Linked DNA regions of Macaca mulatta. The protein of the gene in region 2 purifies or fractionates together with the protein of the main gene of each other region. This does not show direct contact. Links are inferred from orthologs where the notes say so. Each region holds a gene or a part of one and is shown on either strand. Other genes may lie near its edges.

What was found.
Region 1: the proteins of SINHCAF (region 2) and TNRC18 purify together in Homo sapiens (affinity purification with mass spectrometry; 3 studies listed by BioGRID and IntAct, counting the BioPlex papers as one, with this or other methods). This does not show direct contact. The link is inferred for Macaca mulatta from reciprocal best matches to the Homo sapiens genes SINHCAF and TNRC18.
Region 3: the proteins of SINHCAF (region 2) and ARID4A purify together in Homo sapiens (affinity purification with mass spectrometry; 3 studies listed by BioGRID and IntAct, counting the BioPlex papers as one, with this or other methods). This does not show direct contact. The link is inferred for Macaca mulatta from reciprocal best matches to the Homo sapiens genes SINHCAF and ARID4A.
Region 4: the proteins of SINHCAF (region 2) and SAP130 purify together in Homo sapiens (affinity purification with mass spectrometry; 3 studies listed by BioGRID and IntAct, counting the BioPlex papers as one, with this or other methods). This does not show direct contact. The link is inferred for Macaca mulatta from reciprocal best matches to the Homo sapiens genes SINHCAF and SAP130.
Region 5: the proteins of SINHCAF (region 2) and SUDS3 purify together in Homo sapiens (affinity purification with mass spectrometry; 3 studies listed by BioGRID and IntAct, counting the BioPlex papers as one, with this or other methods). This does not show direct contact. The link is inferred for Macaca mulatta from reciprocal best matches to the Homo sapiens genes SINHCAF and SUDS3.
Region 6: the proteins of SINHCAF (region 2) and SAP30L purify together in Homo sapiens (affinity purification with mass spectrometry; 3 studies listed by BioGRID and IntAct, counting the BioPlex papers as one, with this or other methods). This does not show direct contact. The link is inferred for Macaca mulatta from reciprocal best matches to the Homo sapiens genes SINHCAF and SAP30L.
Region 7: the proteins of SINHCAF (region 2) and ARID4B purify together in Homo sapiens (affinity purification with mass spectrometry; 3 studies listed by BioGRID and IntAct, counting the BioPlex papers as one, with this or other methods). This does not show direct contact. The link is inferred for Macaca mulatta from reciprocal best matches to the Homo sapiens genes SINHCAF and ARID4B.

What each region holds. Positions count from the first base shown.
Region 1 is NC_133408.1:43,513,381-43,516,880, forward strand, and holds part of TNRC18 (trinucleotide repeat-containing gene 18 protein), read right to left. Parts: intron 3,306-3,500; coding exon 3,189-3,305; intron 2,384-3,188; coding exon 2,219-2,383; intron 1,107-2,218; coding exon 1-1,106.
Region 2 is NC_133416.1:33,457,699-33,461,198, forward strand, and holds part of SINHCAF (SIN3-HDAC complex-associated factor), read right to left. Parts: intron 1,494-3,500; coding exon 1,394-1,493; intron 86-1,393; coding exon 1-85. UniProt on the Homo sapiens protein: Subunit of the Sin3 deacetylase complex (Sin3/HDAC), this subunit is important for the repression of genes encoding components of the TGF-beta signaling pathway.
Region 3 is NC_133412.1:131,497,176-131,500,617, reverse strand, and holds the end of ARID4A (AT-rich interactive domain-containing protein 4A), read right to left. Parts: intron 2,365-3,442; coding exon 2,261-2,364; 3' UTR 501-2,260; downstream 1-500.
Region 4 is NC_133417.1:9,247,305-9,251,514, reverse strand, and holds the start of SAP130 (histone deacetylase complex subunit SAP130), read right to left. Parts: upstream 2,801-4,210; 5' UTR 2,608-2,800; coding exon 2,536-2,607; intron 2,249-2,535; exon of another isoform or gene 1,822-2,248; intron 1,742-1,821; coding exon 1,624-1,741; intron 1-1,623. UniProt on the Homo sapiens protein: Acts as a transcriptional repressor. May function in the assembly and/or enzymatic activity of the mSin3A corepressor complex or in mediating interactions between the complex and other regulatory complexes.
Region 5 is NC_133416.1:125,665,819-125,670,081, reverse strand, and holds the start of SUDS3 (sin3 histone deacetylase corepressor complex component SDS3), read right to left. Parts: upstream 2,801-4,263; 5' UTR 2,654-2,800; coding exon 2,512-2,653; exon of another isoform or gene 1,841-2,511; coding exon of another isoform or gene 1,807-1,840; exon of another isoform or gene 833-1,806; intron 1-832.
Region 6 is NC_133411.1:163,320,127-163,323,626, reverse strand, and holds part of SAP30L (histone deacetylase complex subunit SAP30L), read right to left. Parts: intron 1,838-3,500; coding exon 1,715-1,837; intron 1-1,714.
Region 7 is NC_133406.1:13,890,715-13,894,214, forward strand, and holds part of ARID4B (AT-rich interactive domain-containing protein 4B), read left to right. Parts: intron 1-2,856; coding exon 2,857-2,970; intron 2,971-3,500. UniProt on the Homo sapiens protein: Acts as a transcriptional repressor. May function in the assembly and/or enzymatic activity of the Sin3A corepressor complex or in mediating interactions between the complex and other regulatory complexes.

The DNA.
Region 1 (3,500 bases), on a different chromosome or scaffold from region 2:
GGCCGAGGGCCGCGCCTTGCCGGCCTGCTTGGTGGCCTTGGTGGGGAGCGCCGGCTGTGCAGAAGGGCCAGCCGTGGGGGCGGGGGCTGCCTCATCGTCTGAGCTGCAGGAAGAGTCCTCGTCTGTGGTGGAGGAAGAGGAAGAGGAGGAGGAGGAGGACGAGGATGAGGACGAGGAAGAGGAGGAGGAGGAGGAAGAGGAGGAAGATGAAGAGGAAGAGGAGGAGGAGGATGAGGAAGAGGAGGAGGAGGAGGAAGAGGAGGATGAGGAGGAGGAAGAAGAGGAGGACGAGGAAGAGGAGGAGGAGGAGGAGGCCGGTGAGGCTGCCCTGGAGCTGGCAGCGCTGCAGTTACGGCCCCCGGCGCCACAGCCCCCCTCCCCATTCTTGTCGCCTTCCTCCTCCCCTTCCGTCTCCGAGCCGCTGCTGCTACTGCTGCTGCCACTACTGCTGCTGCTGCTTTCGGACTCTTCCGCCCCGTCCTGCTCGGCCTGGGCCTTGTCTGGGCTCTTGGGGTTCCCAGAGTCCTCGAACGTGAGCCCCGGCCCGGGCTCCTGGGCGAGGTCCCCCTCCGTGGCCTTGGGCCAGGGTGCCTTGGGCTCGCTGCTGCCGGCCACCTGGGGGTAGCTGCCCAGGCTCAGGAGGCTCTTGGGCTCCTGCCAGCCCCCGGCCCCTGGGTCCTCCCGGAGCAGCAGAGCCTCTTTAGCCTTCTTGCTTTTGGGTGACGTGACACCCTCGTGGTCCAGTTTGACAAGCAACTCAGTCTCCTCCCCCGGCCTCCGAGGGCCTTTGGCACCTGATTCCTCGGCTGCCCGCGCCTTCTTGGGCTTGGGGCGTGTGGCGGGCATGGTGATGAGGGGTGCTGCGGCCAGGGTGGAGGCAGGGGCTGGGAGCTCCCCAAAGGGCTCGGGTGCTGGGCAGCTGGTAAAGGCGGGTGGTGCGGGGCTGGGCTGTGGCGGTGCTGGGCGCGCCTTGGGGGTCTTGGCTCGCTTGTCCACAGGCTCTGGGGGACTCTTCTTGGAACCTGGGGTGCTGCTCGGCTCCAGGGCTAAGGGGGTACTGGGGACCTCATCTGTTGGGCTCCCCTCCTCCAGGGTAGCGGCTCTGTCTGCAAAACAAAAGAAAACAGATGAGAGACTGGGGCGGGGGCTTCCTGGCAGAGACGAGCTGTGGCTTTCATCAGGAAGGCCTGCTTCTGTGGGTTTTGTTTTTGTTTTTTTGAGATGGGGTCTCAGTCACCCAAGCTGGAATGCAGTGGCATGATCAGGGCTCACTGCAGCCCTAACCTCCCTGGGCTCACGTGAGCCTCCAGCCTCAGTCTCCCAAGTAACCTGAGGCCACAAGCATGCGCCACTATGCCTGGGGAATTTTTGTATTATTATTTTTTTTTTTGTAGAGATACAGTTTTGCTCTGCTGCCCAGGCTAGTCTTAAACTCCTGGGCTCAAGCAATCCCTGTGCCTGGGCCTCCTAGAGTGCTGAGAACAGGCGTGGACCACCGAGCCCAGCAGAACGGCCTGGTTTCAATCCTGGCTCTGCTACTTCTTGAGCGGAACCCGGTTGCGGCCTTCTTAGGCCTCCTTCAGCGGTTCCCCTATAACAACCTTAAGCTGTGTTGGCCCCAAAGTGGGTCCTCCAATAGCCTCTGCTTTCAGCCTGTACAAAGCATTTTCTCTGGATTCTGGAAAGAAACACAGGCCGGCTGCAGCTCAGCTCTGCCTCTGACAAACCAACCTGCCTCCCTCAGCCTCAGTTTCCTCATCTGTCACCTGGTCAGAACAATCCTGCGGTGCAGGTGCAGAGGTCTTTTTTTTTTTTTTTTTTTTTTGAGACAGAGTTTCACTCGTCACCCAGGCTGGAGTATAATGGCGCGATCTTCGCTCACTGCAACCTCCACCTCCCGGGTTCAAGCAATTCTCCTGCCTCAGCCTCCCACGTAGCTGGGATTACAGGCGCTCACCTCCATGCCCGGTTAATTTTTGTATTTTTAGTAGAGGCGGGGTTTCACCATGTTGCCCAGACTGGTCTCAAACTCCTGACCTCAGGCGATCTGCCCACCTCGGCCTCCCAAAGTGCTGGGATTACAGGCGTGAGCCACCGCACCCAGCTCAGAGTTCTTACAGACAGCAGGTAGGCACTTGGGCAGGTTCTCAAGCCCCGAGTTTGGATGCACAAAGGAGCTCTACCCACCGCCCCTGCCCTGGGGTCCGGTTCAACGTACCACCCTTGGCCTTGGCGCTGGGTTTCCGCCCACGCCCACGGGCCTTGGCTCCTGGCTCCTCCGACCCAGTCGTACCACCGTCTTTGCCTTCCCCAGTGTCTTTGCTGGTCTTCCGGCTACGGCGCTTGGCACTCGGCACCAGGAGGGCTGGGGATGGCTCAGCACCTGCAGGGCAGAGGACAGAGTGGCTCATCAGGCCTGGGGTCCCCAGCTTGGAGCTTCCAAGACCCTGGTCTGTCCTGGGGATCAGGGATGGGGGCGGAAGCAACCAACGCCGGGTGGCTGACCCCGGGTGGGCTCCCACGATAGGCTGTGAGGTCCAGCGGGGGAAATCCCATCTGCAGGGAGCAGCCAGAGGCCCCTGAATGAATGAAGTAAAACAAAGCACTTTGTGGAACTGGGACAGGTGGATAAAGATGCTGACTTTGGTTTTTGTTGTTGTTGTTGTTGTTGTTTTGAGACGGAGTCTTGCTCTGTCGCCAGGCTGGAGTGCAGTGGCAGGATCTCGGTTCACTGCAACCTCTGCCTCTCGGGTTCAAGGGATCCTCCTGCCTCAGCCTCCCGAGTAGCTGGGACTACAGGCGCGTCTCAACACGCCTGGCTAATTTTTGTATTTTTAATAGAGACAGGGTTTCACCATATTGGCCGGCATGGTCTCGATCTCTTGACCTTGTGATCTGGCCACCTTGGCCTCCCAAAGTGCTGGGATTACAGGTGTGAGCCACTGCGCCCGGCCATTAATAATTTTTGATCAGCTTCCCATGGCCTGGGCCACTGGGCTTGGGCTGTCCTCATGGACCCAGGACCTGGGAGCCCTGGGATCTCACAGGAGCCCATCCATGGTTTCTGCTACTTCCATCACCTATGGCTCCAAATGACTTCAGACAGAGCCCAGAGCTGGGCTTGGAGGGCGAGAGCCTGGATGGGCGGCCCCTGGCAGGAGCCCGGGTGTCACAAGCTTGTCACTTACATTGGATCTTATAGTCGGGGGGCAGGAGGCGGATGTGTGAGAGGGGGATCCTGCCAGTATCTCCGTCGTCAAACTCCACAGTGATCAAGTCCCCATCGTCCTCCAGGTCCAGTAACCCTGTGGGAGGAGAGGCTCAGGGGAGGCCCTTGGACCTCCAGCTCCCTAGTGAGGCACAAGGGTGGGGACAGCAGAAACCGGCCCCTGTGCAGCCCTGCTCTCTATGGTACAGCAGTGGGGACATGGGTGAGGGTTTACAGTGGCTCAGAATGTGGGTGTTAGAGCCAGGCCATCTGGGCAGGAGAACTGGCTCTC
Region 2 (3,500 bases):
TTTTTATCCTGTTCCCAGATAGAGTTTTCACTTTCTTTGGTTTCAATGTAGTCTTTAGACTGGGTCCAGCCCTTGCATCTACCACCTGGAAGAAAATACTGAATATTTAATAATATTTTTAAAATGATACTAGTGTATCCCTTTGGTTCAGATCCGTGCCTATTTGAGAACCACAGTTTTACACTGAAAAGAGGGTGAAACTCCTCCATGTGCACCTTTAATCATCACATGACATAAGGGAATAAATAATATTTATCTAGTGGGGTTTTTTAAGATACTCTTTCCTGTGAAGTGGGTAATAGTGGGAGTCTGTTGGAAAAAAATTTAAATAGATTTGTATATGGGATAATCGTTACTGGATGACCCAACTAGGTTAAGAATCAAACCTAAAAACAACTCCATTTCTACAGGATAATGTTTTGCAGTTTATGAAAAGCTTTCAAATACTTTTTATCTTCAATACAAAGCAATAAACAGGGCTATTTTTGTTACTCCAATTTTAGACGGAAGGAAAACAAGGCAAAGAGAAATTATGCATTTTGCCTTATTTTACCAAGCAAGTAAATGGGTTAAGAGGGGTGGAGAGGGGAAAAGACTGGAATCAAGGTCTTCAGGTCTTTATGCTTTTTTCACTACACACCTTAATCTCTGAGGTGAGTTATATGACAGCAATAGCATGTTCTCCCACAGTCTAGCCCAGCCATTGATCTCGCCCCATATGGCCCTGTTTCTTAGGTATTCATTCACATTTATTAGTTGCAGATTTCTACCCCATGTAAAAAGGAACGTTGTTACCATCTTCAAAATCATGACCTATTATAATAGCATAACACTGTTATCAAAGGACAATGTAAGGCTAGTGTGAATGATAACTATGTGTTATACCTTCTACATATCATCTCATCCAGTTCTCACAGCTGCTCTGTAACAGAGCTATTATCTTTGCACTTCATAAATAAATGTAACCTGCCCAAAGTCCACAACTAGTAGTGGTAAAAGCAAAATTCAAATTCAAGTCTGATCCTAAAATCTATGTGCTCATTAGTACCAACCTGAGTTCAAAGGATGATGTTATCCAAAGAGATTTAAGAAAAAGGATTCACATCTAATTAACTCTAGGAATTACTGAGTTAAGCCTAAAAATAGGTGAATGCTTACTGTGAATCTCCAAAAGGGAGATATTGGATACAGTCTTAAGGAAATGCCATACCAGGCTATTCTGTTCTAAAGATGCCAAAATGTTAGGCAATTATATCTGAGCAGCAGCTAGTGTTTTTCTTTATTCTTTTCAGACTTTTCTACCCTAGGGATATATTACTTCCTAAATTAGGGGGAAATTAATGTTACTTTAAATATAATAGAGGTATAATTGAAAAAAAGAAAATGGACTAACATGATTCCAGTTTTTTTTTGATCCTGCTGGCAACTTCTTCCATCTTTTCACAAGCAGGACACAGGCATTGCAGATGTCTCCTGAACGAGTCTCATGCAATCTGATAAGAAAACAATCAAACCTTTATCAGTCTCCCTTACCTTAAAGAATTCAAGCAAGCACATTTCCTTTGGGAAAAAAACTGTATCTATATATGGTTTATAGATACAATTTAATCATCCTGGATGATCCCATTCCATTGTTTCTATAGAATATTTCAGAAATAAAATTATCTTCTAGATTCAACAAACCAATTCTACGTACTGCAATTTGGTTATTTTGAAATAAGAAATGCTTTTAAAATTAAATAGGCCAGGCTGGGTGTGGTGGCTCACGCCAGCAATCCCAGCACTTTGAGAGTCTGAGGCGGGTGCATCACTTGAGGTCAGGAGTTCGAGACCAGCCTGGCCAACATGATGAAATCCTGTGTCTCTCCTAAAAATACAAAAATTAGCCTGCTGGCACACACCTGTAGTCCCAGCTACTCAGGAGGTTTAGGCAGGAGAATCGCTTGAACCCAGGAAGCAGAGGTTGCAGTGAGCCAAGATCGCACTACTGCACTCCAGCCTGGGCAACAAGAGTGAGACTCCATCTCAAAAAAAAAAAAAAAATTAAATAATTAAATAGGCTGGTGCGGTGGCTCACACCTGTAATCCCAGCACGTCGGAAGACCAAGGTGGGAAGATCACCTGAGTGCAGGAGTTCGAGACCAGCCTGGGCAACAAAAGGAGACCCCCATCTCTACTTTAAAATAAAAAAAAAGAAATTTAATTTAAAAATGCTTTTAAAATTAAGGAGTAAAACTCAAGACCTAAAAGAGATTCTGATTATCATGGTTTTAAATAATGCTGTTTAATCAATCTTTCTTGCAATGTGTAGATATATTTCTTTTTTGGTGAGGGCGTGGAGGTGAATAGGATCTCACTCTGTCACCCAGGCTGGAATGCAGTGGTGGGATTATGGCTCACTACAGCCTCAACTTCCCAGGTTCAAGTGATCCTTCCACTTCAGCCTCCCTAGTAGCTGGGACCACAGGCACATGCCACCACGTCTGGCTAATTTTTCTATTTTTTGTAGAGACAGGGTTTCACCATGTTGCCCAGGCTTTGTCTCCAACCCCTGGGCTCAAATGATCTGTCTGCCTTGGCCTCCCAAAGTGCTGGGATTACAGGTGTGAGCCACCGCACCCGGCCTGTGTAGTTATTTCATAAGTATCAAAATGCTACCCTTTGGCAAGTAAAATAATGTGTCATAATATTCTAGTTTCACAGCAAACAAAACCAGAGAAGGATTGTAGTTTTAAAAAATGAAAATGGCCAGACGAGATGGCTTATGTCTGTAATCCCAGCACTTTAGGAGGCCGAGGCAGCCGGGAGTTCGAGACCAGCCTGGGCAACATCGCAAAATCCTGTCTCTACAAAAAAATAAGAAAAATTAGCAGGGTATGATAGTGCATGCCTGTAGTCCTAGCTACTCAGGAGAATGAGGTGGGAGAATCACCTGAGGCCAATGAGGTCAAGGCTGCAGTGAGCCATGATAGTGATACTGTACTTCTGCCTGGGTGACAGAGTGAGATTCTGACTCAAACAAACAAACAAACAATTATATTGCTGGTGCACACCTGTAGTCCCAGCTACTCGAGAGGCTCAGACAGGAGGATCACTTGAGCCCAAAAGTTCAAGGCTGTAATGCACAATGATCACACCTGTGAACAGTTACTGCACTCCAACCTAGGCAACACAGGAAGACATTGTCTCTTTAAAAAAGAAAAGAAAGAAATAATGATTTCCCCTGTTAGAAATTACTTTCACCACCTTTTCTTATCGAAACATTTGTTCATCGTTTATTGTTAATCCTGGACTTTGTAATTATTCTGAAGGTTGTCAAAAAGGTCTGTGCCAACCACTCCTTTTTAAATTTTATTTTTATTTTAGTATCTTCATTTCCTCAACCTCCCAGGCTCAGGTGATCCTCTCACTTCAGCCTCCGACGTAGCTAGGACTACAGGCAAGCACCTCCACGTCCAGCAAGTTTTTTTGTTTGTATTTTTTATAGAGATGGGTTTCGC
Region 3 (3,442 bases), on a different chromosome or scaffold from region 2:
TACCTTCTTAGTCACATGTAAGAGGTATCTATTCAAAGTTTACCTAAACTCAAAATATGCTCAATATTTGAAATGTCATACTTAGTCAATATTCACTTAATTTCATAATCCTTTCCAGCTTCCAGATAAAAGGATTTTAACAGTGTGTATCTATTCAATGAATACACAGTTTTGTTCTCTGTAGCAACATCCCAATACTTCATGACCAAATTTGTATCAATTAGAAGGGACAGTACTCAAGCTGATAACTTATTTATCTCACATTTATTGAATTGCTACAGAAGGAAATCATTAAAATATTTAATGTATAAATCTAAGGTTGCCTCCTAGGTCCAGCTGGATTTAAATGACACTTTTTTTTTTTTCATTTTTATAATTAGTAGAAATATTTTATTGTAAAGGCTGAAGAATATACTAAAATGCTTGGTTTTGTGACATCTGATTTTCCAACTGTAAGTTATTAGCACTTAGGAAAAAAGCAATCACTTAAAATAAAACTAAAAGTATAAAGCCTATGTTTAAAACATGGCCTTTATTAATACTGCCCACTGAGCTCCATTTTTATTTTACATTGAAATACTTCTGCTTTGCAAAGAAAAGACAGAAAAGTGCATTTTACAAGAGTACTTTTTTTGTTTTTAATTCTCTGAGAAAATGGAATCTGAATCACAAGTTCACAATGTGGTAAAATGAAATTAAGAAACAATGATTTCAGTAATGCTATGCCATCACTAGTGTTTAGCTCTGACTTCTTCTTGTAAATCAGATCCTGATATACAGTCTAGAGCATCTAGGTTATTATTCTACAGCATATTAAACACAGAAAAGGAGGTTTAAAAAAAAAAAACCCCTTTCAATGTACAAACATGAATTTAAAAATTGCTTTTAAAAAATCACCTTTTTACATAATGTATATGCAAAACTGCTTTAAATACATGATTTTGGAAGAATTATTTACAAAATGTATCAGTCTGTGGAACAATTCACAGACAAAGCATACATAGTTGCTTTACTTAGTTGTTGCATCTCAACTTTGGGAGATATAAATTCATTCGGCAGTATAGCAAACATAAAAACTGTGACAAAGTATCTTAAGGGCAACCAAAAATTTGATCCTCAAAACAGTTTAAATACTAGGACTGCCAAAGTTTCTAAACAAGGACATACTTTAATGATCCAGATGCCCATTTATAGTTCTATACTGTTTGACGGACTGAGACAGACTCCCTTTAACACAGGCAAGGCTGCAGGATGCAACCTCCTGTAAAAAGGACAGCTGAGAGCTATTGTCATCCAAAGAGTGAATTAACCTAGAATTTTCTTTTTTTCAATTTTATTAATATTTTAAAAAATACATAAAAATACAACATCCAATGTCTGAATAAATATATTTAACAAGTTGCAAGATAATACCTTATTTTACACAAAATTTTCAGCTTTAGAAATCTTGTTAAATAACTTCATTGTTGTTATATATTTCATTTTTGTCTTTTTGTAACAAAATAAAAACTCTGAAATTACATAGAAAAAAGACAAAATATTTTTGTCAAGGGATAAGATAGTCCACTGAAAACTTATTCACAATTCCACTGTAAACATTAATAAACATTAAAATATTTGCATAATTGTGTGCTCAAAAATCCTATAAAAAGTGGAAGACTTATTACAACTGTAGTTTTCAGTCAACTACACTTCCTTTCACAATTTATTTTGTCCCATTTACACCTTTAATCCTGGGCACACTGCTGAACATATACTTTGGCAGTTCTAAATAGCAAGTGCTTCCACAAAAATAAAAAAAACAACAATAATGAAAAAAACACAACATAAACCCCCTACTCACCAAGTGTTCAAATACATCTTAGTGAAAGTGCAGCAGTAACTATTCAGCTGGGTAATATTTTGATGTTTATCATGTGCACTTGCTTGTCTATGATTTCTATAACACCTGAAAGCTTTATTATACAAATTCAAATTTGCTAAGTGCCCTTTGTTCTATATCACAACAAATGAAAAAAAAAGTAAAGAGGAAAAATTATGACAAATATGGCAGGCTGCTTAACCTTCACTTATTAATCAGCTTATTTTTTGCAACAAGAAAAAAGAAGAGAGAGGGGAATAGATACAATCCGGCCTGGAAAAGTATACAGGATATACTTAGCAATGTCAAACCAGTTGAGTGCTTTCTGTGGTTGTAATTCAGGGTCTGGGGATTTATGTCCATGGCAGCAAACTGCTGGGAAGGTAGAGAAAATGTTTATCACCTGCATTCTACAGCAAGTACATTTTGTGGGGGAGATGATGATGAGGGACTCATTCCAGTGTCTGATGAAGCAGATGACATGGAGGCTCCCGCATGAGACACTGTGGAATCAAAACAACTATGTTAGATCCAAAAACTGTTACACAAAGATACCTAGCTAACAGCAAATTAGAAATAAAATTCTTCTTAACATTATTCACCTTAATCACAGGCCTCTTATATGTCACATGAAGGAGTAACAAATTGTCAGCAAAAATTTTGTTTGGCTCAATTAAGTAGAGTTAGTCTTTGGTCAGTTAAGTACTACTCAACACTTTAAAAGACATCATAAAATATAAGGATTAAAGAGACAAAAACTCTTAAACCTCTAGTTGGGGGATCCCCTGAAGGAACTTAGCTCAATCAGAAACAAGGTCAACCTGAGATAAACACAGAACCATAGGGAATTTCTGCTTTATCTATGGGTCATAGGACCATAAAAGAATTAACTTAACTCAGAGGATTTCCTCTGACAGGTATCAGAATCATGGAGATCAGGACGGAAGTAATGTGTGATAAGCAAAAAGTCCTCAAATGGTTTTAATGTAATTTTCTCCAGGAGGACATAACACAGATTAGGGATCAGTACTTTGAGCATTAGATGTTTTGCCACTTTTTAAGTTCTTTGCTTTTATCTTCTCTTTCCTTGCAAAACTCTTGTCTTCTGCCAATCTTTCCCTGATTGTTCCTATTTTATTTGAAGTTTTAATTTTTGTTTATTTAAGTGTCATTACAACTTCTGGGGCTCAAGCGACACTCCCGCATCAGCCTTCCAAGTAGCTGAGACTATGGGTGCACGCCACTGCACCCAGCTAAATTTTTAATTTTTTGTAGAGACGGGATTTTGCTATGTTGCCCAGGCTGGTCTCCAATTCCTGGGCTCAAGCCATCCTCCTGCTCCAGCCTCCTAAATGCTGGAATTATAAGCGTGAGCCCCATGCCCAGGCAACAAATTCTTATATATATGCCAGAAATCACTCAAATCTCAGTTTAATAACTCATTATGAAAACCTAAGCAAATAAAAATGGGGAAAAGACTATAATAAGCTGGGCATGTTGGCTCATGCCTATAATCTCAGTACTTTAGGAGGCCAAAGCAAGAGGACTGCTTTAGAACAGGGGTTCGAGACCAGCCTGAAC
Region 4 (4,210 bases), on a different chromosome or scaffold from region 2:
AAAAAAATTTAAAATTAGCTGAACATGTGGCTGTGCGCGGTGGCTCATGCCTGTAATCCCAGCACTTTGGGAGGCCAAGGAAGGTGGATCACTTGAGGTCTGGAGTTCGAGATCAGCCTGGTTAACATGGTGAAACCCTGTCTCTACTAAAAATACAAAAAAGAAAAAAAAAAAATTACCCAGGGATGGTGGCGCATGCCTGTAATCCCGGCTACTCAGAGGCTGAGGCACAAGAATCGCTAAAACCCAGGAGGCAGAGACCGAAGGGACCTGAGATAGAGCCAGTGCACTCTAACCTGGGCCAAAGAGTGACACTCTGTCTCAAAAAAATAAAATAAAACAAAATAAAGTAAAATAAAATAAAATAAGCTGGGGAGCTCAAAAGATCGAGGCTGCAGTGAGCTGTGATTAGGCCACTGTACTCCCGCTTGAATGACAGCATGAGATGCTGTTGCAAAAAAATAAGCCTCAGCTACTGGTTTAAGCAATGAGTAGACAGTGGTATCATTTACCATAAGGAACACCAGAATCGAGTGGTGAAGAAAAAGGAATAGAAAATAGTTTATTCCACTTTGCAATGTCACATATTTACTTAATACGTAGCGAAAAAGAGTATTTGAAGGAATTCCTCAACTTCAGCGCTGCTGACTAGACTGGATACTTCTCTGTTGTGGGGGCTTCCCATTATCTTGTAGGATGTGAAGCAGTATCCCTGGCCTCTACCTACCAGATGCCAATAGCACTGTTGAGTTGTGACAACCAAACTGTCTTTAGATATTGCCAAGTATTCCCCTGCAGGAAAAACCACCTCCCCAAACACCTGTCACTGAGAACCACTGATTTCTAGCACTCAAAGGGCATGAGACGAAAAACCAAGTCTTATCTGTGTGTATGCAATCAGCCCTCTGTATCCATGGGTTCCCTGATCTGAATTCAAATAACTTTGGATGTTAAATATTCAGGGGGAAAAATAAAATATGGTTGCATCTGTACTAAGCACATACAGACTTCTTTGTCTTCTCACTGTTCTCTTAGCAATACGGAATAACAACTATTTACATACTATTTACTTTGTAGTAGGCATTACAAGTAATCTACAGCTGATTTAAAGTATACTGGAGGATAGATACAGGTAATATGTAAACACTATACCATTTTACATCACAAAGTGGAGCAACATGGATTTTGGTATCTGAGGTGGGTCCTGGAACCAATCCCCCACAGACACCATAGGGAAACTGCATATCCTTTGTTTTCCACTTATTTTCCTTGATAATAAACTCCTAAAAGGCAAGATCTGTTCCTTAAACAACTCTGGGCTCCCTCACAGCACTAATGCTATACTCTTGGACATTAATTAAACATGAATATATTAATGCATTTCAAAAATAGTTCTTACAGGCATGCTTCGCTGTAAGTTGCATGTGTACTCTATGTGAACGAAGTGCTTAAAGCAGGAAGAAAAAAAGCCTTGTTTAAATTAGAATAGTAATATACCCTTTCTTCAAATTCAAGAAATAAGAATTTACTAAAATCCTAGAAGGAGTCTGCTAATTTTTAAGTTAGAAAACTGGCAATATTCGTAAAGTTGGAAGAAATATATTAGAATATTACATATCTCACCTGTAGCAGCTGGGTTTATCAATCCAGCAGTACCACTGTTTGCAATCTGAGAAGGGGCCTGGCTCAGCCCAGTAGAAGGGGCTCCTAATCGAGGAAACTGTTGAGAACTCATTTCCACCTGCAGTACATACAGTTATATGGTTATTACTAGATTCTGAGATCTGAATCAATATTGAGAAATTAAAGCATCTTTAGTACCTATGAGATAGTCCCTCGGAAAAGCAAATGTTGCATCATCTATTTAAAAACAATAACGTAGGATCAATATAAATGCAGACATTATCTAAACTACCTAAGTTTTCTACCAATATCGTTTATACGGAGCTGGCGTGTACTATAACCCTCCATAAATACTTGTGGATTGCCATGCTAAAAAAATCACCATTGAATCCTGTACAAGAGTCACATGACAGGTATTACCACAATGCATGTGTATTTCTCTGTGTAAAGTTTTATGGAAAATGGCATGTCTCTTCGAAACACTCAAACCTCACACCAAGGTGAACAGAACTGTGATTAGCATGTCATAGGAACATTCGGAGGAAGATACCCAGCCCTAAGAAAGGATCGGATGTTTTACATTCAGACCTGATGCAAAAGGAATTCTCCAACGCTTTTCTGCAAAGGCTTCCATTTACGGATTTCCTTTTCTTTCCCTTTCATAGACCCCCCACAGAGCCAGAGGACCCTACACCTTCTCCATCTTCCCTAAAATCGTCCCCCACTTTTCCCCCAGGAGCCAAGCGATCTCCCCTGATTCGCCCGCAACCCCACCCCACCGCGAAGCCCCCGCTGAGATGGGAGGACGCCGATTTCCAGACACCTCGGAGTGCGAGATCCCCGTCTCCGGGGTAGGGGTGCGGACGGGCGTTCTGGGGACCCGACCACAAGGCGAGCACTGTGCCTCTTTACCTGTAGCCGCCGCCCGCCGCCCGCACCGCCCGCTTCTAGCTCGCCGGCCTGGGGGTGCCGCGGAGGGCCCATCTCGGCGGCGGCGATGCGCTCGGGGGGCGCGGGGAGGGATCGCGGCGGCGGCGCCCGGGGCCCGCCGCTGTCCAGCCCCGCTGGCCCCACTCACCCCCAACACCCGGCCGCCGCTGTGCTCGCAGTCCTCTTCCCCCGAACCTGCCCCTGCCTCCCCCGCCCGCCCATTGGCCCCACGCCCGGCGCGTCAGTGGAGGCCCAGGACCAATCCACAGCGACCTACACGGTCAGGACCCGCCCCACCCTCCCGCCGACCGCCAGCCAATCAGGCGCGAGCCTGGCCGGGGCAGCCCAAACCCCTCGAGGCTGAACCAATGGCAGAGGAAGACAGGCGCCCCCGGCGAGGGGGGCGGGGAGCGGGGAGGCCCCGCCTTGGCCAGGGTCTGAAAGCGGCGGGCGCAGGGCCCGGATGTGGAGAGTCACTTTAAACTGCTCCAGGAGCCAAACTCCCTGGGCCGCCCGCCCGCCCGCGCTCCCCCGACCGCTCTGCTTCCCCGCCAAGGCCCACGTCCGCCACGCCCCCACGCCCGGGTCAGCCCACCCCTCCCGGTGCCTCTCCCTTCCTCGCCACAGGACACCCAGCCCCTGTCGCCGGCCCAACTGCCGTGCCCAGCTCGCCAAAGAGCCGCGGTCCGAGCTGCAGGAGACGAGGATCCTCTGCCCTTCCCCGGGGACGCGCAACGGGACGGACGCTGCAGCCCGGCTCGGCCGCCCCGCCCCCTCGTCTCCTCCCCTTCCCTCCCGGGCTCCCGTCCCGCCATTACCTGGGTGCTGCGCCGAGTGGCCGCCGCGCCGCCTTGAGCTCGCTCCCGCGCGCTCTCTGTCTGCGGGGCCGACGTCCCCAGGTTCCCGACCCGCAGCCACCGCCGGGGAGCTAGCACTCTGCCCCCCACCCCTCACTCCAGCGCCGCTGCTTCCGCCGCCGTAACGAGCCTCCCGTCTATTGGCTGGCGCAGGCCCCGCCCCCTGCCGAGTCAGCCAGTCGCCGGTGGTCGTGAGCGGGAGAGCGGACGGGCCCGCCCCTCGGAGCCGCGGCGTCCTCTGGGAAATGTAGTCGCGGGAGCCAAGAGGGCGGGCCGCGAAGGAGGTGGAGAGCGCCGGGGCGGGGCCGCAGGCGACCCGGCCAGGGCAACACACCCCTTTGCTGTCTGAAGTCGGTTCTGTCTTTTCTCTTGGCTAAGTGAGAAGACAGTGGATCCCACCCTGTGTCTCAACCTGAGGGCACTAGGTTTCATTTTCCCCGCGGGGAGGCGCGGCGCGGGAAAGGGTAATGGAGGCCAACTGCGGCGGCCAAGGGATCCGCGGGCCGGACCAGTGTCGTGACGGTGCCCGCCTCCCTACGCCGCGAGTGGGACTCGGTGTCCCCACCGGGGACCGCGGTCGGCACAGCCTACGCGCGGCGGGAGCCGCCAGGCGCGGCGCGGGCGCGGCTCTGTGAAAGCAGGCCGGCAGGATGCAGGACTCCGGGCGGCCGGGGCGCACCTGCGCGCACTTTCCAGATTATGAAGGCGCTGAAGGGGGCAGTTTTATTTTGTCATTTTGTTTGGGGTTCAGGGTTGGAGTTTATGCGCCTGTAGAAGACATAGCCATATCTTTTGAGGCC
Region 5 (4,263 bases), about 92 Mb from region 2:
TTCTCCTGCCTCAGCTTCCCAAATAGCTGGGATTACAGGGGTGCACCACCACGCCCAGCTAATTTTTGTATTTTTAGTAGAGACGGAGTTTCACCATGTTGGCCAGGCTGGTCTCGAACTCCTGGCCTCAACTGAACCGCCTGCCTCGGCCTCCCAAAGTGCTGGGATTACAGGCATGAGCCACCATGCCCGGACAACAGTACACTTTAAATCATCTCTAGATTACTTACAATATCCAGGCCAGGCATGGCGGCTCATGCCTGTAATCCCCGCACTTTGGAAGGCCAAAGCGGGTGAATCACCTGAGGCCAGGAGTTCCAGACCATCCTGGCCAACATAGAGAAACCCCATCTCTACTAAAAACACAAAAGTTAAGGCCGGGTGCATTGGCTCACGCCTGTAATCCCAGCACTTTGGGAGGCCAAAGCAGGTGGTTTACCTGAGGTCGGGAGTTTGAGACCAGCCTGACCAACATGGAGAAACCCCCTCTCTACTCAAAATACAAAATTAGCTGGGGGTGGTGGCGCATGCCTGTAATCCCAGCTACTCCCAGCTACTTGAGAGGCTGAGGCAGGAGAATGGCTTGAGCTGAGATCGCGCCACTGCACTCCACTCCACCCTGGGCAACAAGAGCGAAACTCCATCTCAAAAAAAAAAAAAAAAAAAGAACAAAACAAACAACAAATAAAACCCCAAAAATTAGCCAGGCATGATGGCAGGTGCCTGTAATCCCAACGACTCCGGAAGCTGAGGCAGGAGAATTGCTTGAACCCCGGAGATGGAGGTTGCAGTGAACTGAGATTGTGACACTGCACACCAGCCTGGGTGATAGAGTGAGACTCCACCTCAAAAAAAAAAAAAAAAAAGGTTACTTACAATATCCAATAAAATGTAAATACTATGTAAGTAGTTGTTACACTACACTGTTTAGGAATAACAAAAAAAGTCTGCACATGTTCAGTACGGATTCAATTTTTTCCGGAATATTTTTGAGCTGCGCTTGGTTGAATTCACAGATGTAGAATTCACAGACATGGAGCGCCAACTGTATACAATAAAAAAGGTAATCTGACACAAATATTTTCCAAGTTACAACTAAAGGGAACAAGGAGGAGGCCAGATGATCAAACGAAAATTGTTTCAAAACATCTTAAACATTGCTCTTAGAACAAGCATTAATGGCTGGGGTGTCTACAAATTTTTAACAGCCCCTATACTGCAAGGAAAAAAAAACCCTCAATTTTGGCTCCACCGCGCCCCCTCGTGGGGATGAGATGCAGCGCAAGTGCTTCACATTCAAAATCTCTGGTTAAGCCTTGTCTTCGGATGGAGTTAAACCGAATGCAGTCCTTCAACTTTCCATGTCATGCATATGCAGCTGTCTTTTGTAAGGCTGTTGCAGATCCAATTCCCCACAAACCCTTCTCCCCTCCTTCAGTTAAGAGGCCTTCCCTGAGTTCCTGTCATGGTCAGCCACATTACTTGGCACTCGGGAAATTCAGATGAATAAAACGTATGCACCTTTCCAAACAGCTGGTCTAGCTTTTGCTCCACGGCCCGATTTTGTCCCAGAATATTCCATTCACATATAGATCTCTCTTTATCTCCTCTTTCTTCTCCCTTGATCTTTCATATTTCATCACCTTCCTCCTCCTCCATCCCTCCAAAATAGCGTCCTCACACTTGCCAAATTATAAAGCTCAGTTTGAAAAGCAAGGCTCTGAGACGCTGTGATGACAGTGTAAAGAGCATGGGACTGAAAACACACCACCTGGGGACCATTAAGCAAACCCCTCCCTCTCTTACCTGTTTCCGGGAGGGGGGCGGGTGGGGAGAACATTTACTGAGTATTTACTGTACCAGGCCAAGTACTTTATGCGCATGTCATTTAATCCCTATACCGACCCTAGGAAGTGCTTTCTAGGTCAGGTGTGGGAATTAAACAGCTTCATTACAGCTGGGTAAATCGAGGCTGGAAAACTTTAGTTTACAAAGCTGAGTTAAGTGACAGAGCCAAATTTAAACCTGTATCTGGCTGGTTCCAGGTCCCTTTCCTTTAACCAACCTGAGTTATCAATACTGTCCTACCTAAAGCATAGCTGACACGCATTTCGGGGGTGGGGAGGGGCAACTTTGGACTCTGATGCTCTCAGACACAAAAAACGGGGGAACTACACTCGGTGCATTCAGTAAATGAGTTTCTCATTCCTACTAGTGAAGATGTGAGGTTCAATCAGAGACAGCTGGGAGGGAGGACGGGGTCTTAAAGGGACCCCCAGCGTGACAACGTGTGAGTCCCCTCTCCCCATCACAGTCAAGTGTAACGTACCCAGGGCTTCCCCGCTACTCCAGCGCGAAGGGGAGTAACTTCCCCGAGTCCCGCAACTCCCGGCGGCCCCTCCACGCAGCCCCAGGCCCCAGAGGCCGCCCCGCCCCTCTCCCAAGCAGCCCCACCCCCTCCCTAGCGGTCCCACCTCCGCTCCCGGCCGCCGGGAGAGCTGCAGGACTCACCTTCGTCCGACTCGCGGCCCCGACAGCTGCGCTCGTCGTCCTCGGCGCTCTCCAGCTCTTCGTCCTCCTCGGGGTAGTACTCGGGGGCCGGCGGCGCTCCAGCCTGGGCCGGGGCCGGGGCCAGCAGCCCCGCGGCACTCATGTCGCCTCTGACCGCAGCTGAGCGTGGCCCAGGGACACCGCGGCCACCCGCCTTCGGTACTCGCCGTCTGCCTAGCAGCGTCCGAGGGAGCCCCCAACTCGAGGAGCGGGAGCCGCGGCGACCCCTTCCCGGTCTCCGCCGAGCTCCGCCCCCCGCGCCCGCGCTCGGCAACCGGGGCCTCGCGCCGCTGGCGACTTCCGGGTCGAGAGCTGCCCGACGACGGCCTGACTCCGCCATCCTTGGGGGAGTGGAGATGCCGCTGGACGCCCAGTCGCCACAACTTCAGCCCTTTCATCGCCGTCTTAAAATCCTTAAAGTATAGTGGGGGAGGGGCGGAGCCAGGTTCTCTAGAGTCAGGCAAATCTACGGGCAGGCCCAGCAGCCATCAGGACCCCGAGGCTCGCAGGCGACATCCGGAAACAGCCGCCAGGCGGCGCCTGGAGCTAGAACTAAAGCAGGGATCGTTAGCGACCTAGGGGCGGAGGGTTTGAAGGGCCCTTGGCAGGTGGAGGTGGTCTCTAATCTAAGCAGGGGAACCACGCGAACTGCCCCCTTGTTAGGTCTGAAAACCTAGACATCCAGAGTGTGCGTGATCATGCAGCCTGGCTCCTCCTGTGACTACTTAGAGCTTTATTAAGAGCTAAAAGACAAGGATGCTGATATTCCATCCTGGGGACAGCAAAACAGTATTTTCCCAGCCCTTAGGAATCCTTTCTATTTGTGTAAGGTTTATTCGATAAGATGTTCCCCCGGTTTTACAAACGAGAAACGAGCTGTCGTTTGCCTAAAAAAAAATAGCAACGTCCAGTCTGATTTTTTAGACTCGGAGACCCAGGCCTTCCGCGGTACAGCTGTCTTGAATATTAATTTTTTCAAAGGTGCTTTTGCCTAATCCAACAGCTTGCTCTGAGCTCTCAACTGAAGAAGGGGAGAATTTGCCTACCAGAAGTTATTTGGCTAAGCAAGACCTACGTGGAAGCTTAAAAACCAGGAGAGCTGAGTATCTGCAAGAATTAATTTGTGGGATTCCCTCTGAGTAAAAGAGGGACACGGTGTTACAAGTTTTGCTCAAAGAATAGATTTAAGGTGTCCCTTTAGCTAAGAGCAGTGTGGTCTAGTTGTGTGTAGCGAGAAAAAAGGATAAGGTTTTTAATGGTTTGTCCAAAGTAGCCCCACTTTCATGTTCCACCCGAGTCTCCGTAGGAAACGCAACCAGTAGTGAAAACACATGTGAAAACCAGGGTGGAACCGAATATTCCCATTCTCAGACCTTTTGTGATCAAATTTCTCTCTGAATTGGCCCCCATGGACTCTTCTAAAAAATGAAACATTATTCCCATCCCATTTATTTTGACATTTATTTACTACCTTGTTTTAATTAAAATCTTGGCTCTATTTGTAAGGGATTTTTTGTCCCAACAAAACTAAAGAATTTCCAGAATGGAATGCTAAGATGTCTTTCCAGGAGTTCCGAGATCTTCTGAAGCGCCTTCTAAATAAGAATCATTCTCAGATCTCACCAGGTCTGCCATCTATATTTAAACTAGGATTTCGGAACTGTCTCGTGTCCAAAAGATGAAGTCATTTTCTTTTTTTGTGCTGTTGGAGCA
Region 6 (3,500 bases), on a different chromosome or scaffold from region 2:
GGAGATGCTATAGCAACAAGCAGAATGAGATAAAGAGGTTGAGCTTTGGAGAGGCAGTGACGTTAGAAGGGACACCAAAGATGGAGAGCAAAGGCAAAAACCAGAGACATCCTGGAGGAAGATAGGCCAGAACGAGGCAGCGACCAGATAAAGGGGCACAAAGGAGGGCAGTGGGAAGAACTGTTATCCTCAAATAGCCCTTTCCTAGGCCCAGCCTTCTGGTGTTAGAATCCTTAACCTCCCTCCAGAGAAAGTTCAAAAGTTACTGTAGTGAATGTGCAAACCAGCAGGTTAGGGTTGGGGTCTTTGCAGATGACTGGATAACAGAGGGGAAGGGACCCCCCCTTTTTGTTTCTAACAAAGGAAGAGAGGAAAGCTGCATAGTCATGAAAAATCGAAGGCCCATAAAGTTGGGCTGCCTTTACCTGCCTCTAAAAGAGCTGTTCTTGCTTCAGGCAGGTGGAGAGCACTTAAAAACAAAATGAATGATCAATATGAGGGGCCAAAGTCCTTCATTCTTTTCAAAACATTCCTTAAAACCTTTTTTTTTTTTTTTTTTGGTGAAAACCACTTAGAAATCGAATACATCCATTTCTTTATAAAATAACAATAATGCTAAAAGCAACAGCAAGATTCTGTAAACCAACATTGGAAAAGGGGACACAGGGAGGGGCAGAGGGAAAGGGCCAGATTTTCAACGGTTTCCTCCACATCTGCAGACAAAGGCCCGCCTACTCTTTCTATTCCTACACAGTCATTTTCACTCTGAGTGCTAACAGGCGGTTGCCTTATGAAATATTCATGTGTCAAATATTCAATGTACACTATAAACGGTTCTTCTTTTGCTGAGTCTTGAGTGAAAACAATTTAGTAGAAAGAAAATCCAATATTCCTTCCTGAAGCCTCACTTAATAGACACAGGCACCTGAAGGGAAGGCGGCCTTCCAGTTTGAGAAGCCTAGGTCTTATGGTCTAGCGCAGTGGTTCTCAACACAGGACGATTTTGTCTTGTAAAGGAGGTGTGGCAATGTCTGGAGACACTTTTCGATTGTCATGACTCAGGATGGTGATGGGTAGAATCCCATGAGGGGATGCTGCTGCGGCATGCTGTTAAATATCCTACAATGCAGAGGACAGTCCCCACAACAAAAACTATCTGACCCCAAATGTCAACAGTGCTAGAGTTGAGAAAACCAGGTCCAGTTTAGTCAACTTTGAAATGGATCCTTGGGAACAGCCTGGACTAGGTGTCAAGAAACCAGTGAGAGAAAATCAGAGCTGGTATGAACTGATGACCTACATCTTCATTTTCTGGGGAAGAGACTTCTCCCAAACCATTACACACTCTCTAAAGGTTTTAAACAAGGTTTTTTAAAAAGTGACACTGTGGTTGTATTTATGCATTTGTCAGGGGCGTCTTGCAGAAAAACAGCGTGGTCTACTGGAAAGGGCCCCAGACTAGAGCCTCCAAACTATATACCTGACCTTGGCTCTCTGTGCCTGTCCATAAAATGATGGGGCAGTCTGACCAGTGGGTATCCAAGCTTTTAGCTCTCAGATTCTGTATTACTATAATTCACTTTTCAAATAATCCACAGCAAAACAAAGGGGACTAAAATTACTTCTTAATACAAAAAGCAGACCAGGCCAGAGGTGAGGATCAGATTAGAATCCATTTTTCCAGCTTCCGCAAATTGATTTCTTTGACCTTTACCTCAGGAATGTCAGTGTCGTGCTCGGGAGAATCTCCACCATCGTCACTTGTCTTCCTCTTCCTTTTATTTCGGACACTCTGGATGAAATTTTTGTGAAAATCACAGATATATAGGTGCCTTACCTGACGGACAGAAAAATCAAAGTCAGAGTTGGCCAATTCCTTGGAGACAGCAACAGGTATCTGTCAAATTGTGGGGCTTCCGTCCATTGCAGGGCATTGGAGAGATAGACAGAAGACAAGATGTAGGCCTCCCAGAAGCTCACTACTGAGGTGCAGAAGAACACCAAGAGAACGCTAACATCACACTTTGTGGCGTATCATACACCAAGCCTCCAGTGAATGGTGAAAACAGTAAATGGTACAGATTCAGCAAAGGAAGAGATTCCTGCAACAGAGATGCTCAGGGTGAAGGGCCCTGACTAAAAGGGAGGACTTTAGGCAGACAGGAAGCATTCCAGATGGGTAGGAGTGCCAAGACTTTAGAGTTTCCAATGGAGGATGACAGAAAGAGTGAGGAGGCCCAGGGTACAGTGTCAGTTGGGTGATGATGGCTGCCCATGTAATGTAGGAGCATAATGAAAAAGTGAGGCATCTGGGCGGTGGGCATGAGAACAGCTTAGACTTTCCTTCCGACAAGACAGAGTCCCTCAAGGAAGCAGGGAGTGATGCGACATTTTCAGAAGACCTGTAGGAGTCACGAACTTATAGTGGGCTGGAATGCACTGTCCTGGGGAGGAGGAAAGCAGGACACAAGGGACTGTGGCAATGGTATTTGGGACACTCTATTTTTACACTTACAATAGCTACTATTGTAGGATAATAACTCTCTGAAAAACTTTGTTTCTATGTGTCAATTTATAATTCTTGCATTATCTCACATCTGATCCACAAAGAAAAGTGGAAAAAGATGTGGAAATTCTTACAAGGTAGAACCACATACAAGAAGGTGGATACTACAGATTTTCTAATACAGGATGGAGGTAAGTGAAGGTGGCAGCAACAGCTAAGACATGAAGAATCCTCCATGGCTGGCTGGAGGAGCCATTGAAAAACCTTACAGAAACTGAATGCCTGGCAAATGACTTGGGGTTGTTGATAGTGAAACAGCTGTTTCACAAATGTTCTGCAGAGACTTCTGAATTTGAGTTTATTCCTTAAATCCTTAAAGATAAAAGTAAGCTGGCAGGAAATCGCATCAATTAATTCAGACCTTTTCATGGAGAAAATAATGAAAACTGTTCATTCAGATGAATGATCACTTTCATGTGGCTGGATTAGTGAGTCATGAGTACTTTTAAGTTTATACCGTGATGGTGTCTTGCAGACGGGAGGTACTCGGAAAATGTTGATGTACCAATATAGGAAATCTCCTATATCTAAAAGTGGCTTAGGCTAATGAAAGCCACTTACGTGGTTACAAATTGGGATAGCTTTGTCAGATTCAACTCGGACTTTCGAACACAGCACATGCCACTGTCCCTAAGAATCCCACCTAGCTGATGTATATAATACTGAACATGCTTTTCTCCAGGAAGAAAGCACAACAAAGCCCACTCTGCATCCCTGAGAGGAAGCTGGTCCTGCACGTTAGCTAGACTGGCGAGACCACTCAGATCAACTGCTCAAGTTCACATTAACAAACTTCATAGGAGAACAGAGAGAATAGGTGGCTTCCTTAAGCTTCGGCTGGGAGATTTCAGATCAGGACAATAGAATAACAGAATCCTAGTTGTAAGAGAATTTAGCAATCACTAGTACAATCCCATTGACCCCAATCCCGTTT
Region 7 (3,500 bases), on a different chromosome or scaffold from region 2:
AGATTTTAGAATGCTAGCTTTAGGTTTTTAGCAGAGCTTAAAAGAGATATGGTCTAGATCAAATTAGTTAATTCTGTGTTTTCTAAGGAATCTTGACTTAAAACATCTCTGTTTTAAAATAAATTAAAAATATACTTGCAATTAAATTGAAATGTTCTTTGCTTTTTTCACATTTATAAGTGTAACTACTATGATTTTATCTGTGCCATACTATCTCATGGAACTGAACTATCCAAACATGACTAATTTTCAAAATGAAAGAATCCTTTATTTCAGAATATTAGACAGGCTTTCAACAATAAAATTTTACTGACCAGGTGTGGTCACCACGCCTGTAATCCCAGCAATTTGGGAGGTCAAGGTGGTGGATAGCTTGAGTCCAGGAGTTCAAGACCAGCCTGGACAACATGGCAAAACCCCATCTCTACCAAACATACAAACATTAGCGAGCTGTGGTGGCACATGCCTGTAGTCCCAGCTACCTTGGGGGCTGAGGTGGGAGAATCACTTGATCCTGGGAAGGCTGCAGTGAGCCAAGATCACGCCACTGCACTCCAGCCTAGGTGATAAAACAAGACCCTATCTCAAAAAAAAAAAGGAAAGAAAAAAACAGGTTTTACTGTTACAGGTTTTTTGGGTTTTTTTTTTTTTTTTTTTTTTTTTTGAGATGGAGTCTTGCTCTGTCGCCCAGGCTGGAGTGCAGTGGTGTGATCTGGGCTCTCTGCAACCTCCGCCTCCTGGGTTCAAGCAATTCCCCTGCCTCAGCCTCCTGAGTAGCTGGGACTACAGGCATGTGCCACCATGCCCAGCTAATTTTTTGTATTTTTAGTAGAGATGGGGTTTCACCATGTTAGCCAGGATGGTCTTGATCTCCTGACCTCATCATCCGCCTGCCTCAGCCTCCCGAAGTGCTAGGATTATAGGTGTGAGCCACCAGGCCCAAACTATTGTTACAGTTTTTGAGAGGTTGTATCCTCATTATATGTTCCTAATATCTTACAAAAGATTAAAATTAACGAAAAAGAGACAGCTGGGCGCGGTGGCTCAAGCCTGTAATCCCAGCACTTTGGGAGGTGGAGACGGGCGGATCACAAGATCAGGAGGTCGAGACCATCCTGGCTAACAACGCTGCCGTTTTGAATCTTAATCTTGACTAGGTTAGTAATTATGGAATTTGAAAGCTACTCCTAAATTTAGGGTAACTTATATCTTTTTAGAAATAATTGTTTTTTTGTTTTATTTTTTGTTCTTTTGAGATAGAGTTTTGCTCTTGTTGCCCAGGCTGGAATGCAGTGGTGCAGTCTTGGCTCACTGCAACCTCCGCCTCCCAGGTTCAAGAGATTCTCCAGCCTCAGCCTGCTGAGTATCTGGGATTAGTGCCCAGCTAATTTTTGTATTTCGTTTAGTAGAAATGGGGTTTCACCATGTTGGCCAGGCTGGTCTTGAACTCCTGACGTCAGGTAATCCACCTACCTCAGCCTCCCAAAGAGCTGGAATTACAGGCATGAGCCACCACGCCCTACCAGAAATAAATTCTTAAGCACCTATTTCACATGGCCACATTTTAATACATTTACTTACTATGAATATTGGAGAGTCCCCACTATATCACAAGTTAAAACGTAAGTTTTGCTATTTAGATGTAGTTTTTTCCTCTTAATTTACTCTACATTGAAGGTTTTTATTTCTTAGCATCTGAGCACTTTAGAATTCAACTCTTTTGGAGAGAAACCTGACAATTATGACTCTGTGCCTCAGTATGGTCAATATCTACGTCTCCTTTGTGTTTCACTTAAATTGTTATATTAAAATGACTTTAGGTGGGTTCACATACTTGGTGTAAAAAATAAAAAAGAAATAAATATTAAAAATTTAAAAAGGTATTAGGAAAAGTTATAAGTAAGATTATATGACCTATTTTTAAAAAAGGAAGTTGCAGACAGTTAATTACTTGTCCTGTTTTTGACCAAGGAAGTTAGGTTTTATACACAGAAGGTTGATTTAGTGTCTGACATTGGAACTGAATGGAGATAGTACTTTATTAGTCTCTGGAGAAAAAAAGCTTATTTTATACAGTCTGAGAGATAACATATATGAATTAGACAGAAGTATAGCAGATGCTAAGGAATAGAAAAATGCTACAGTTGAGAGAAGTGATTCATCAGTGAAGCCTGGAACATCTTAGTGAAGATGTAGGACTTGGGCTAGTCCTTGAAGAAAAGGGAGACATTTATTTGTAATGTTTTGCAATAATTTCCCACCAAGAAGATGAGACACTTTTTAGAACTACTATGTTGAATTTGTAAATGGTATGTGTGTTAACCAGACAGCGTCCTGGGAGCTTAGTTATTTTTGAAATAAATTGGTTAAAAAAAAACCAAGTGTGAGTTACTGCTAAAATTTACCCCATTAATATCATTATATCATTTTAAAAATTATGTTAATATAAGACATAATGTCATTAACATTTTAACCTGTGATTAAGTCTTTATATTTTGGTTTTATTGAATCTTAACAAATTTCAGTTTTTATTTTCAGCATATGCTTGTTTTTTAATTACTAGGCTCATAAACTCCCAGTACTATATTAAGGACTATTTTCAATTTAGATCTGATTTTTTAAAGAAGGATGTGCATACTTTATTTCCCTTTTTTAAAACCCTGACTTTTATTATGTACAAGAATTCAGACTCCATTAATGACAGTTTATTAAAAACTTGTAATTTCTGTGACAATTTATAAATGTCATAAAGAACATGTAGTTTGGATTGTTCTATGCTTCTAAAATGTGAAATTAATTTATACCTAGGAAATGTTGGATTTTATTTTGTGTTACTTAATCCCTTTCACTTCATAGCCTGTACAGGTCAGAAAAGAGTGAAAGATGCTCAGGGAGGAGGAAGTTCATCAAAAAAGCAGAAAAGAAGCCATAAAGCAACAGTGGTAAACAACAAAAAGAAGGGAAAAGGCAGTAAGTGTGAAATATCTAATTTTTAAAATATAAAAATAATAGCTGATAATTTTCTCCCCAGTAAGAAAATGGTATTCAGGATATGGGATAGTACATTATTTTGATTTTGTCTGTACACTCAAAAAAAGTCACACAGATTCTGTAAGGCTACTTGCTTTAAAAAGAAAAAAAAAAACATGCATTAGGAGAAATACCTAATGTTAATGATGAGTTGATGGGTGCAGCAAACCAACATGGCACATGTATACCTATGTAACAAACCTACACGTTGTGCACATGTACCCTAGAACTTAAAGTATAATAATAATAATAAAGAATTTCTGCAAAAAACCCCACAGGTTTTCTAATCTTAGGTAAATTCTAGTTTTAAGCAAGTTGGTATTATTCAGCGGTGGTATTGATTGCTGATGAAAAATCAAGTAATCTGTTTTTGAAATAGTAGCCAATATACTATAAACATCAACATATTTGTTACCTTTGTGTTCCACAGTTATTTTCACTTGCTATAAAATGTATCACACATTGTGAAA